Linked DNA regions of Diceros bicornis minor. The protein of the gene in region 2 interacts with the protein of the main gene of each other region in a pairwise test. Links are inferred from orthologs where the notes say so. Each region holds a gene or a part of one and is shown on either strand. Other genes may lie near its edges.

Region 1 (3,746 bases), on a different chromosome or scaffold from region 2:
TCTCCTGCTTGGCCTTGGCCAGCTCGTGCAAGCGCTGCCTCTTGAGCTCCTGCTCCTTGTGGGCTTTCTTCAGGGCGCGGATCCGTTTCTGGTCGTTCTCCTGGGCCGGGGAGGTGGCACCCGTCAGGCACGCGCCCTGCCCTCCCTGAGGCCCAGGCCGCTGGTGCCCCCACGAGGCCTCTGTTTGCTGAGCTCGTGCCACCGTGAGGATGGGCAGAGGTCACTGGGCCACCCAAGTGGGCAAGGAGGCCCGAATTTTCTCCATTTGGTACTTGGTGCCTCAATTTCTCCCCTCTTCCTTCCAAAACCTGGGGCAGCAGTGCTCAAGCTACAGGGAGATGAGACAGGAGGTAGACCTGGTCCAGCGGGCCTGGTGGGGCAAGGCCATTCTGGAGAGCATGTTCCATGGCTCAGACTGGAGCAGGAGGAGATGGTGCAGGCAATTCGATGCCCAGAAAGACACGAGGCTCAGCTGCTACAATCCAGCTGACTCCCCTTCTGCTAACCACCCCCGCCAAGATTAGGGGCAAACCCACCCCTCACAATGCACTTGTGTGGCTCCTTTCCCTCTTCAGGGGCGCCTGTGATTCCACGCGGACGGGCGTGTGTGGTGTGGAGGACGTTTGGAGGCATGTGGGGAAGGCACAGGGAGGATTGCACTGTGCCCCGCAAGCCCAGGAGAGGACTGTGGGGCACTAAACCAGCGGTTTTCAAGTCCAACTGTGCAGCACAATCCCCTGCGGAGCTTTTTAAAAACACAGTTGCCTCGGCTTGACCTCAGGCCTGCTGAAAGCAAGGAGAGAAGAGAGAGCCGCGGGGGTCTGTATTTGGAACCAGCTTTCCAGGATTCTACCACGCGGGTTCTCTGGTAGCCATTTGGAGAGCCCCTCACCTCCAAATCTCCTGCCGCCCCAACCCCTCCACTCCTGAAGGCTGTCTTCAGGCTCTCCCAGAGCTTTTCTCTGGCCAGTAACAAGGACGGGACCTCAGGAGAATATGCCCCGTCCCTCAGCTTCCCTTCCCACCTGGTTTAGGCCCAGAGCGAGACAGAAGAGGCTTAGGAGCAGGACTCCCCCGTGGCAGAGGCCAGCGATTCCCCGCTGGAGCTGGGCCAGGCCCTCAGGGCTCCATGAGCGCTGTCTGGAGCCGGTCTGGAGAAATCTGGGTTTTAAAATGGCTAAATCGCTCCTCTAAGGACCGTTTGAGAGGCGCTGTCTCCGAATGGACTCTGGTGCTGGTCCTTCCGCCACCCCCTGACTGGACCCTCAGCACAAGGATGGAGGGCTAGGGTGAGCTGGGGGGACTAAAACCCTGTCTGATTCATATTTGTATTCCCAAGTGCCCAGCCTTGACTGTGGCAATTCAGTCACTCATCACCATCCATCCATTCATTTATTCACTGAATAAACCGTACGTACCAGGTGCAGGCAAGGAAATGGTAAACAGCAGTGTAGACGGGGCAGACTGACAGGTAAACAGGAAATTCAAACAGCAATAAGGGGGGACATAAAGGGAAAAGCCCCAGCATTGTTGAGCAATGAAGAGACATCTAACCCACGGTGAAGAGTCAGCAAAAGTAAGGCGGTGGGGGGGGGGGGCGGGGAGGAGCGGCAATTTGCCCAACCAACGAGTGTGGGTGCCCCTGGCCTGCTGCAGCAGGCTGTGGCCTGCTCCTACCTGGATGAATTGCTCAAATTTCTGGATATGGGCCTTCAGCTGGACCTCCTTGACGCCCAGTTCCTCCCAGCACAGGTTCAAGCTTTCCATTCTGCGCTGAAATATCTTGAGGTGGGGGAAGCAGAGAGGTCAGAAAGGCCCCTGACGTGCATATGGAGGAAGGCCCCAGCATCCCCCGCCCAGTGCTTCTATCCTCAGGCCTCCTACTTCCTACCCCATGCCCAATTCCAAGCAGAGCATCCTAGGACACTGGTACCCCCAAGGCTTGGATCTTTTCTGTCTCTGCAGAGGGAACACAGAACCACCACCCAGGACTCCTGGCTCTAGCCACCAGCACCCACAAAATGGAAGGCTGTCTTCAGGCTCTCCCTGAGCCTGTGGCCCTTCCTGCACCGCATCCCCTAGTCCCCCACCTTCTTCTTCTGCTCCATAGCCTGGTGCATGATCTTGGCCTCCTTTTTCTTCTCCAGCAGCTGGATGGATGGGGACTCCCACTGCTCCTCACTGGTGGGGAACTTCCTGCCCAAGACACGGGCAAGAGGGGCCTGTAGGTTCTGAGCATCTGGGGCAGGCTGAGAGTGGGAATAACCCGTGGAGACAGATACCCATGGGGAAGGAAGGGGGTCCTGTCCCCCATCGGAGGAAAAGAATGGTATGTTGAGAGGGAGAGAGGGCTGTGTTGGCATCCAGGGAACAAGCTGGGGCAGGGTGATAAGGGGTGGGGATCTGGGTGATGGGGGTGGATTGGTGCCAGGGCCATGGGGCAGGGTGATTGGGGCTCTGGGTTATAGGAGTAGGAGGGGACAGGTTGGAAGGTGGGGCATGGGGTGGGCGTGGGAGGTCCCAGGCATTGGGGTGGGGGGGTCCCCAGACCCTCAGACACTCACTGCAGCAGTTGTAGCAGCCGCTCCCCATACTGCAGCCGGAAGTACTCGGCCAGATCCTCCTCCTCCATGATACCCAGACTCATGGTGGTGGTGACCCGCTGGCCCAGGCAGCCGAATCTTCACAGAAAACAGTGGGTGGTGGAGCCGCAGGTGGGTCTGCAGTGGTGGCTGAGCTCCTGCTTTTCCCTTCCTCCTGCTCTTCAAGGTCCCACAGAAGGGTGGGTGTCTGAGAGACTCAGGCGAAGACGGCTGGAGGCTGACGAGCGGCAGCTCAGGAGGATGTGTTCAGGAGGTGATGGGAGATCTAGTTACCTAGCAACAGGTTGTCTGGTTCTGTGGACCACACATAGAACCCAGGCTTTGTCCTCTGGCCCCTGTCCACACTGACCCCACTTTGGCTGGGTTCCCACTCTCTGCTCTTGCATTTACCCCTCAGGAACTCTGGGAAGAAGTTAGGCTGGATTCGATGCTATTGTCCAGGGCCAGGAGGCAGGGTCTGGGTGTCCAGGGCTGAGAAGGGGTTTTTGTTAGAGGCGTGGCCTTGTGAGGGAGTCCTGCCCCTGGGGCCTCCCTCCTGGGTTCAGCTATGTGTATCAGGGTGAGAGAGGGGGCTGGGGCTGGGACAGACCACTGAGAAGAAAAGGAGCCAAGGAAGGGAAGTGCTGGGGGGGTGGGGGGAGCGGGTCACCGACAGGGAGGATGGGAAGAAGCCTGAAGCTGAGAACTAAGTGGTGGGTGACGGATGTGTACTGGTGTGCGTGTGTGAGGATAGGCAAGAAGCCTGGCCACTAAGGAGGCCCCCCTGGGGATATGGAGGGGGGCACAGGGTGAGGCCCCATTGAGGGTAACAGACTCAGGGCCAGTGCCATTTTTTGAGATTTTCGGAATATTAAAATATGGAGAAAAGCCAAAACATGGTACCATAAATGTCACATATTTTACATGTTTACTGTATGATGGCTGCCTTCTGTGATCCTGTCAGAGCACTGTGCATAAGCTCATTTGGTCTGAGGTCCAGCGTGTAAATTTGAGACCCTGTGTATGAGGCGGGCGCCCTGGGGTCCTGGCCGGAGGTAACGGCCGTGACCTCGAGCTCGCTGCGGCCGGGCACGGCTCCGGGCTCCCTCTGTTCTCTCCTTTCCCCGGCCCACGGCGGCGCGCGACCTCCGTCCCCTCGGTGTG
Region 2 (3,746 bases):
CTCTGATTTTCGGTAGTACTTGGCTATGCAAGGTACAACATGCTAGATGAGAAGTCTGGTAGTCATGAAAGGGAGGGAAACAACTGCCCCTTCATGTCCCTAGCCTCTACCCCTGCCCCACACAGCCCCTCCCTGTCCTAATCCTGGAGCTGCAAGGAAGGAGATAGGCCTCAAACAATCAGGAGGCCAAAATACTGGGCCAAAGCTGAGGCCTCATCCCAGTCAGCAGAGGACTCTGCATACTGTAGGCGCTTAATGAACATTATTGACTCACTGCTGCTAGATGATAATCATGCTTATACAGCCATGCCTAAAATTATTTATGCCACTTTTCAGTAGAAATTAACTAATTGCCCCCATATAGGCTAAAATTGGGTGAGGTTATGTTTTCCAATGAGTCTCAGATTATTAGGTTGGAGCATATTATATATGATTCAAGCCTCAACTTAAAATAATCACCATTACTCTGTATGCCTAGTTTTATGTATGTTTTCATTCAGTTGTAACGTGCTTTAGGGAAAAAAAAAAACAGACTTAGGACCTAAGCACAGACTTAGGACCTAAGCACAATGATGGATTTGGCTCCCATGAGGGCTAATAACGGCAAGTGAAGGTTTCCAGTAAACTAGGGTTCCTACTTACACCCAGTCAACCTATTATCCCAATAAAAGGTAAATGAAGTACTTTCTTTGAAAACTATAATGCTGAGAGTTTATAGTACCCTTTCGTCTTCAAAGGACCAAGCCAAGATGCACAATAGCCAGTACACAATATTATGCCTTTTACCCAAGTGCATCAACTATGAAAGAAAGGTCATAGGAATGTCCTAAGGCCATAAAGCCAATGCAACATCAGATTTGGGACCAACTCTCTGATCTTCTTGTCTCCTAGACCTGTATTTCAACCACATAAATCAAGCTGTGAAGAACAATCAGGAAAAATCTAATTCACATTATATATCTGTATTAAGTTAATTGATTGGGCAGGAATATATAAAAAGAGCAAAGACTACTCCCCCCTCAGGGCAGTGATGAATGCAGAGGGATGAAAGGGGGGATGTGAGGGTTAGGGGCAACCAGCTGGGGTAGAGAAGAAGTAGGAGAGGGAGAAGAAGTAGGGGAGGGCCTCTCCCTGTTAAGCAGTCCCCTTCTATTGGAACATTGCCAGAGAACTGATTAGAGCACCGAGAGACAACAGAATGGGGTTAAAGGCAGCCTTTATGGCCCAACTTGAGAATCAAAGGAATCAACCCATACACAGTACTTGTCTATTTACATAGTCTCTAATATATTCCTTTATAAGGGCTCCTCCTCAGAGACACACACCATCACTATCCACCCGCCCCACACTCAGAAATCCTCAAAAAAGCAAATTGGTTGAGAAGCAAGAGGCTGCATGCCAGGGAGTCCACAGGTTGACGGGGAAACCTGGGGGATAGGTGGCTTCTGGTGAGATATTTGGGTGGACAAGTAGGTGTGTGACGATGTAGGAAGAAGGGGAGTGAGCGTGAAGGCGGGTAGGGGAGTGTGGAAGAGAGAAAATGAAGAACCCAACGACCCCAGGATCCCAATTTTCTGCTCCAAAAAGCGCCTCCAAGAAATAATGTGCTGCACACGAAGTGTTAAGTAGCCTAAACCTTATCATCACCAAAAATGTTTCTGTAAATCTACTCCGCCGTTATTTACTTAATTCTTATGAGCCAGGAATGGAAAAACCCCACCTCTCCCGATTCAGTCGCAGTCTGTCCTATGGACATATGTAAGTTTTCCCGCTCCCCCACTGAGCTGGTTTCACAGCTAGGCCAGAAATAAGGAACCACCCAGGCGGGGATGTGAGGATCGCTCCCCTGGCAGAAAAGGGATTAAGTTTCGCTGGGCCTGCCCGCCGGCAGGGTGTCCGCAGCATCTCCGGCCGCTGCAGCAGCCACCGCCGGGCAGACGGCCTGCCGAGGGGCGCCGCCCGGGCCGAGGAGGCTGCCGGCCGCGGGAGCGTGGGAAGGCGGCGGTGTCCTTTCCCAGACTCGCGCCCAGGCGCCGGGGGAGCCGGCCGGGCTGCGCTGGAGGCCCCGGGCCGCCCCCGCCCCGCGCCGGGAGTGCAAACTCCGTCCCAGGAGGGCAGCGAAGAGAGCCCGGGCCCCCGCGGCGCAACGGGAGCCAGGGCCGGGCCGGAGCCCCCGCCGCTGCCGCCACCTCGAGCCTCGCGGGCCCCCTCACCCTGCCCCGCCGAGCCCCGGAGCCCTCGGCCCGCGCCGGGCCCCGGCGGCACCTGAGAGGCGCCGGGGGCCAGGGCCGAGCCCTGCGCGGGCGGTGGCGCTTGGCCCCCGGGACCGCGGCGAGGGAGCGCGTTTTACCCATTGCGTTCCCGGGTGCCAGCCATCTCCTGGGCGCGCCCGTGGGCGCCGGGCGCTCGCCTGCCTCCGCCGCGAGCGGGCTAGGGCTCCGGCCCGAGCTCCCGGGCCGCCGCCGCCGCTGCCGCCGTTGCCGCCGCCGCTCTAGGCCGCCGCCCGCCGCCGCCGCCGCCGCCGCCGCCGCCGCCGCCGCGCAGCAGCCGGGATCCGCCCGCCCGCGCGGCCCGCCGGGGACAGCACGGCGGTCGCGGCGCTACCGCGGCTGGCTCTCCCGAGCCAAACTTAAAGAGTTTTCGCCCCTCAGTCCAGGGGCAGCACCATGACACCACGGCAGCACCACACTGTCATTTCCGCCGCCGCAGAGGGGAAAAAAAAGGCAATCTCTACGAAAAGGGGGGTGGAGTGGGGTGGGGGCAAGCAGGGCTGGGGCTGGCGCCCCCAGGGAGCACGGAGAAGGGCCCCGGCAGCAGGGGCGCTTGGCCACCTTCCCGGCTCACCTTCCGCCGCTCCCAGCTCCCCCAGCCCCTCCTCTGGAGGCGCCTTTACATGTTTTCTCCCCTGGCAGGAGTGACCAGAGAAACCTGAGCAAGCAAAGGCAGCGGGTGGGTGGGGTTCGGGTTACTACTGTACCTACCAGCTGATTCCAGCAGCCTTTTCTCCAGCGCCCTGTCATCTTGAAGGAAGACACACCGAGAGGGGCCCGAAAGGGCGTGTGTGTGCCTGTGTGTGTGAGAGAGAGAGCGCGCAGAATGTGTGTGAAATGCAGAAAGAAGACTATGGCCAAACTCCTCTCCCACCTGCCAACCCCCTGGTCCCACAAACCCCCAAGTTAGAGCAACGAAAAGGCCTTTGCAACTGGCTATGAGAAGAGAGTGTCTAGGTCCACCGCGCAGGTCCTCTGATGAAGCTGCTCTATGCAAAGTTAACTACAGAGTAAAACAAAAATAGTGGAGGAGACAGAAAAGGGCAGACAATTGAAGGAAACCCAACCCCTCTTTCTTTTTACAAAGGGAGAAGGGCAGTGTTTTATTGGCCTTGGGCAGAAGTTGTGGGGATGGATTAAAGCCATGAAAATTTTAAAAAACAAACAAACAAAAAACCTGTACAAAGTACACAAAGTGCACATTCAAATCCTTGATAGGCAAAACAAGAGGGTGGTTACTAAGAGGGCAATGGACCAGATGCCAGCTCTCCAGGTATTCAACCTCCCTAATAAGCTAATTGGTCCATCTGGAACCCAGAAGCGCTCATTGGTCTGGAGTCAGCCTGTCGACTGACATGTCATTGGCTCAGAAACCACTACCCCACTGACAAGGAGGCCGGGAGAGGGAAGGAGGAGGAGGCCCCAGAGGAGAGTCCCTACCTAACATGGGGTAAAAGGAGAACAAAGTGAGAAAAT
Region 3 (3,746 bases), on a different chromosome or scaffold from region 2:
TTCAGCTTTGCCTACTGCTATGCCAGTGCTGCTGACCCAGGAAAGTGACACGAGCAGGCTCACCGGCTGTCCAGGGTCATCTAGTTCACTCTCTAAATCCTCCAGCACTGTCACGGCCTCCTCTCCATTCTCTGGATGATGCTCTCGAACCCAAGTCTGTAGCTCCTTGGGTAGGATGGCAACAAACTGCTCGAGCACCACCAGCTCCAAGATTTGTTCTTTTGTGTGTGTCTCTGGCCTGAGCCATAGACGGCAAAGTTCTCGAAGCTGGCTCACAGCTTCACGGGGCCCAGGTGAATCCTGGTATCCAAACTGCCTGAATCGCTGTCGGAAAACTTCTGGGTCAGGCAGATGGTTCCAGGGGATACTTGATCCCTCTTCCCCATCGGGATCCTCTTCCAACTTCACTCTCAGAATTTTTTCCTCTTCATCTGGAGTTGGGATGATAAGTATTGAATCTTCTTCCACTGACTGTGCAGACATCCTGATTTATAATACTTCAAGGAAAGACAATCAAGGCAGGATACAGGCCTCAGGGAAATACTCCGTTTTCTTCACAAGCACTCTTGAGACACAAGAAATAAAAAAAAAATAAATGTCCAAATATCCTAAGTATTTGTACATATACTGATAAAGGAAGTAAAAATATTTGTTTTTTTACCAGATTATAAATTCCAATTAATAACCTACACCAGAAGTTGGCAAACTAGAGCTCACGGCCAAATCTGGCCCACTGCCCATATTCGTGCAACGCTTGTAACAACAATAGTTTTCACATTTTTATATGGTTGAAAAAAATCAAAAGAATACTTCATGATGTGAAAATATGAAATTAAAATGTCTGTGTCCACAAATAATTTATTTGTTCACAGTTTATGCTACAATGGCAGAGTTCAGTAGCTGTGACAGACATAATATGGCCTGAAAAACCTAATATTTATTATCTGGCCCTTTAGAGAAAAAGTTTGCCAATCTATGACCTACAAAATCAACAAACCCTATTTCAATAATAAAAGGAATTCAAGTAAGAACCAGCCCAACTCAATGTTTTCTAAATGCATTTGACCCTAGGACACATTATTTCCAATTCAGGACGGGTGTTGCCTGAGACATTTATGTCAACTCAAAAGCAGGCACTGCTTTTTTTATCCGCTTACAAAAAATTCCTTTTAACAAAATGTTTTTTTTAAGAGTTAAGAAATATTTTTAAAATGTTTATGAACTCCCTGGACTTGAAATATATGCTAAAAAAATTCACTTGCTCAATAACAGCACAATATTGAAAAAAATTAACCACTAGGTGCCATAAAATACAAATATTATTCAGTCACCCACCATACCATAATTACATTTAAATTTATAATGACAGGCATTAATCACAGCAAATTCTATGAAAAAAAGGCACTCTCCTAACACCTTAACTTTTTGCAGCGGCCCAGAATCTCGTCCTTATACTGGATGACTCACAGTCTTCCCAGCTTCTACCTGAAGGGAAACCTTGTGCTATTTCTTCCTTTCCTTAGTATTTGCACAGTCATGCCCGTGCTATTGTTTACAACACATATTAGGAATGAGCCATTATGTAGCTATTCCGGGCCCAGAATCTGAAGACCAGTAATTTCAAAAAAAACTTCTGGTAACCCTATCAAGACTAGAAATCAGAAAAGGACAGGTAAAACATACAGGTTTAATTAAATACTTTGGAGTGTGGTGGCCTCATAAATACGGTTCAGCCAACAGATTCGTTCGTTCCTATTCGACCCTACCTTATCAACGGCTCAAGTATTCCATAGAAGAGAAATTTCTCCTCTTCCCTTTATATTTCTTTCGGCAGCTTGCTCGAGGGACGTGAAGGAGGTGCCAGGAGATCACCCCACCTCACTCCCGCAAAGCGCAGCTGCGAGGCCCGCCCCCGCCCCGACGACCTCCAGCCCCTCTTCCAGGCACTCGCGGCGGCTGATTTCAGACGACCAAAGGCACCCTGCCTCAACGGCGTCGGAGCCACAGCACTTCCGCCCGCGGCCGGGGGAACTACAAGTCCCGGCAAGCCCCGCGCAAGGACCGCCCCCTCCCACCTCCGCCCGAAACGAGTCCCAGAACCCTCCGCGAGAGGCCAGGGCCTCGAAATAGAACAAAACCACCGGTGGGGGAGGGGAAAGGCGAGGACGAGGGAGGACACACGGGATGGAGGACTCTCCGAGGATGCCGAAAGTCCGATCTGGTCTTCCGTCTACCCCTCTCCGCCCTGCAACTGCTGAGAGCGGAGACCGTGGCCTGTCTGCGCCTCTCAGGGAGCCGAGGAAGGTCCCGCCAGGCTTCTTTGCTGGCTCCCGCCAAGCGGGCCGCAGCCCCTAGCCCAGCGTCCCCCTCACGCCCTTCCCCCACCCTGGCGCAAACCTCCTGCTCAGGGTCCGCAGCAGCTTCGCTGTCCACGGCAGACGCAGAAACGCCGCTCACAAGCCGTTTCCCAGAAGCCCCCGGCGCGGACTGCTTCCGGTCTGCGGGCCCCAGGAGGCGGGCGGAGGCGAAGCCCCGCGTTGCCATGGAGATGCGCTCTGGGCGGGGGAGGGGCGGCCCGACGACAATGACCGCTTTGAGGCTGCGCTTGGCCTCGCGCCTCTCTCCTCGGATAGTCCAGTGTACTTTGTTCCGCTTAAAAGGCAAGGAAAAGAAAGAGAGAATTCTGCCATTAAGATAGTCTTCATGGTTTCACAAACCCTTTCACGTGCATTATCTCATGTGATCCCCTCACAGTCATCCTCTGAAAGTAGTAACAAAAGCTGATATTTATAAATGCTTACTACGTTGTGCCAGGCACTGTCACCGTGCTTTATTTACATGTATTGTCATTAATTTTCACAACAACCCTGTGATGTAGGAACTTTTATTATTCCCACTTCACAGCTGAGATAATTGAGGCACAAGTAAATAACTTGCCGAGACCTCATAACTAATGAAAGTGGAGAGCAAGATGTGAAGCCAAGGCATGATTCCAATTTATGGTTCCCACTGGCTATGCTGCAGAGCTTTTTTTTGACCAATTTATCTACCAGGGAAACAAGATGAGACAGGTTAAGAGCTTTGGCAATGATCTCACATGGAATTTGCAGAATGCATAGTCATGTTCTGACTTCAGGCTGGGCATTTTATACCACAAAACAGCTGCTGAAGTGATCATTTAAAAACATGAATCAGACCACTTCATTCCCCTATTTAAAGGCCTTCAATGGATCCTCACTGCCCTAAGACTGACATAAAAACTCCTTACATCTGTCGGCAAGGCCCCCTGTGGTCTGTTGCCTGCCTCCTCCCTCTGACTTCAGCTCTTAGGCTCACAGTGGCCCAGGATTCTTGGCCTCACTGATTGCCTTTCTTCCTGGAAGCCTTCCCCCTCTTCACAGCACTAGTAAAAATGATCTCATTTATTGCTTTCTCTGTTTTTTTTTTTTTGTCTATTAAGTCCCATAAGGGCAGGGACCTTGTCTGTCTTATACACCACAACATCCCAGGCTGCTGACTGCCTGTTACATAGAGAAAACAAATATTTGTTGAATAAATGAATGAATTGTGGGCTGGTCACATTGCTGTCTTTGCTAGGTCACATGTCAGGCATCAGAAACCACACAAAAGAGCCCTGTTGTTTAAGGTCGATGTTAGAAGTGCAGGTCTAGCCTTCCAGAAGCGTTCCAAGATGCCCAGGCTTCAGCTTTCTGCCTCATTCAGGAAAGTGTCCTCTACAAAGTACC

The links.
Region 1: the proteins of MID2 (region 2) and CCDC42 interact in binary tests that used the Homo sapiens proteins (3 or more experiments, as listed by UniProt). The two-hybrid records come from large-scale screens. The link is inferred for Diceros bicornis minor from reciprocal best matches to the Homo sapiens genes MID2 and CCDC42.
Region 3: the proteins of MID2 (region 2) and ZNF24 interact in binary tests that used the Homo sapiens proteins (3 or more experiments, as listed by UniProt). The two-hybrid records come from large-scale screens. The link is inferred for Diceros bicornis minor from reciprocal best matches to the Homo sapiens genes MID2 and ZNF24.

What each region holds. Positions count from the first base shown.
Region 1 is NC_080757.1:9,742,578-9,746,323, reverse strand, and holds the start of CCDC42 (coiled-coil domain-containing protein 42), read right to left. Parts: upstream 2,648-3,746; coding exon 2,565-2,647; intron 2,197-2,564; coding exon 2,091-2,196; intron 1,783-2,090; coding exon 1,678-1,782; intron 101-1,677; coding exon 1-100. UniProt on the Homo sapiens protein: Essential for male fertility. Required for sperm development.
Region 2 is NC_080781.1:100,494,176-100,497,921, reverse strand, and holds the start of MID2 (probable E3 ubiquitin-protein ligase MID2), read right to left. Parts: upstream 2,817-3,746; 5' UTR 2,355-2,816; coding exon 2,351-2,354; intron 1-2,350. UniProt on the Homo sapiens protein: E3 ubiquitin ligase that plays a role in microtubule stabilization. Mediates the 'Lys-48'-linked polyubiquitination of LRRK2 to drive its localization to microtubules and its proteasomal degradation in neurons.
Region 3 is NC_080755.1:29,479,450-29,483,195, forward strand, and holds the start of ZNF24 (zinc finger protein 24), read right to left. Parts: upstream 2,478-3,746; 5' UTR 2,398-2,477; intron 2,177-2,397; exon of another isoform or gene 1,767-2,176; intron 566-1,766; 5' UTR 484-565; coding exon 64-483; intron 1-63. UniProt on the Homo sapiens protein: Transcription factor required for myelination of differentiated oligodendrocytes. Required for the conversion of oligodendrocytes from the premyelinating to the myelinating state.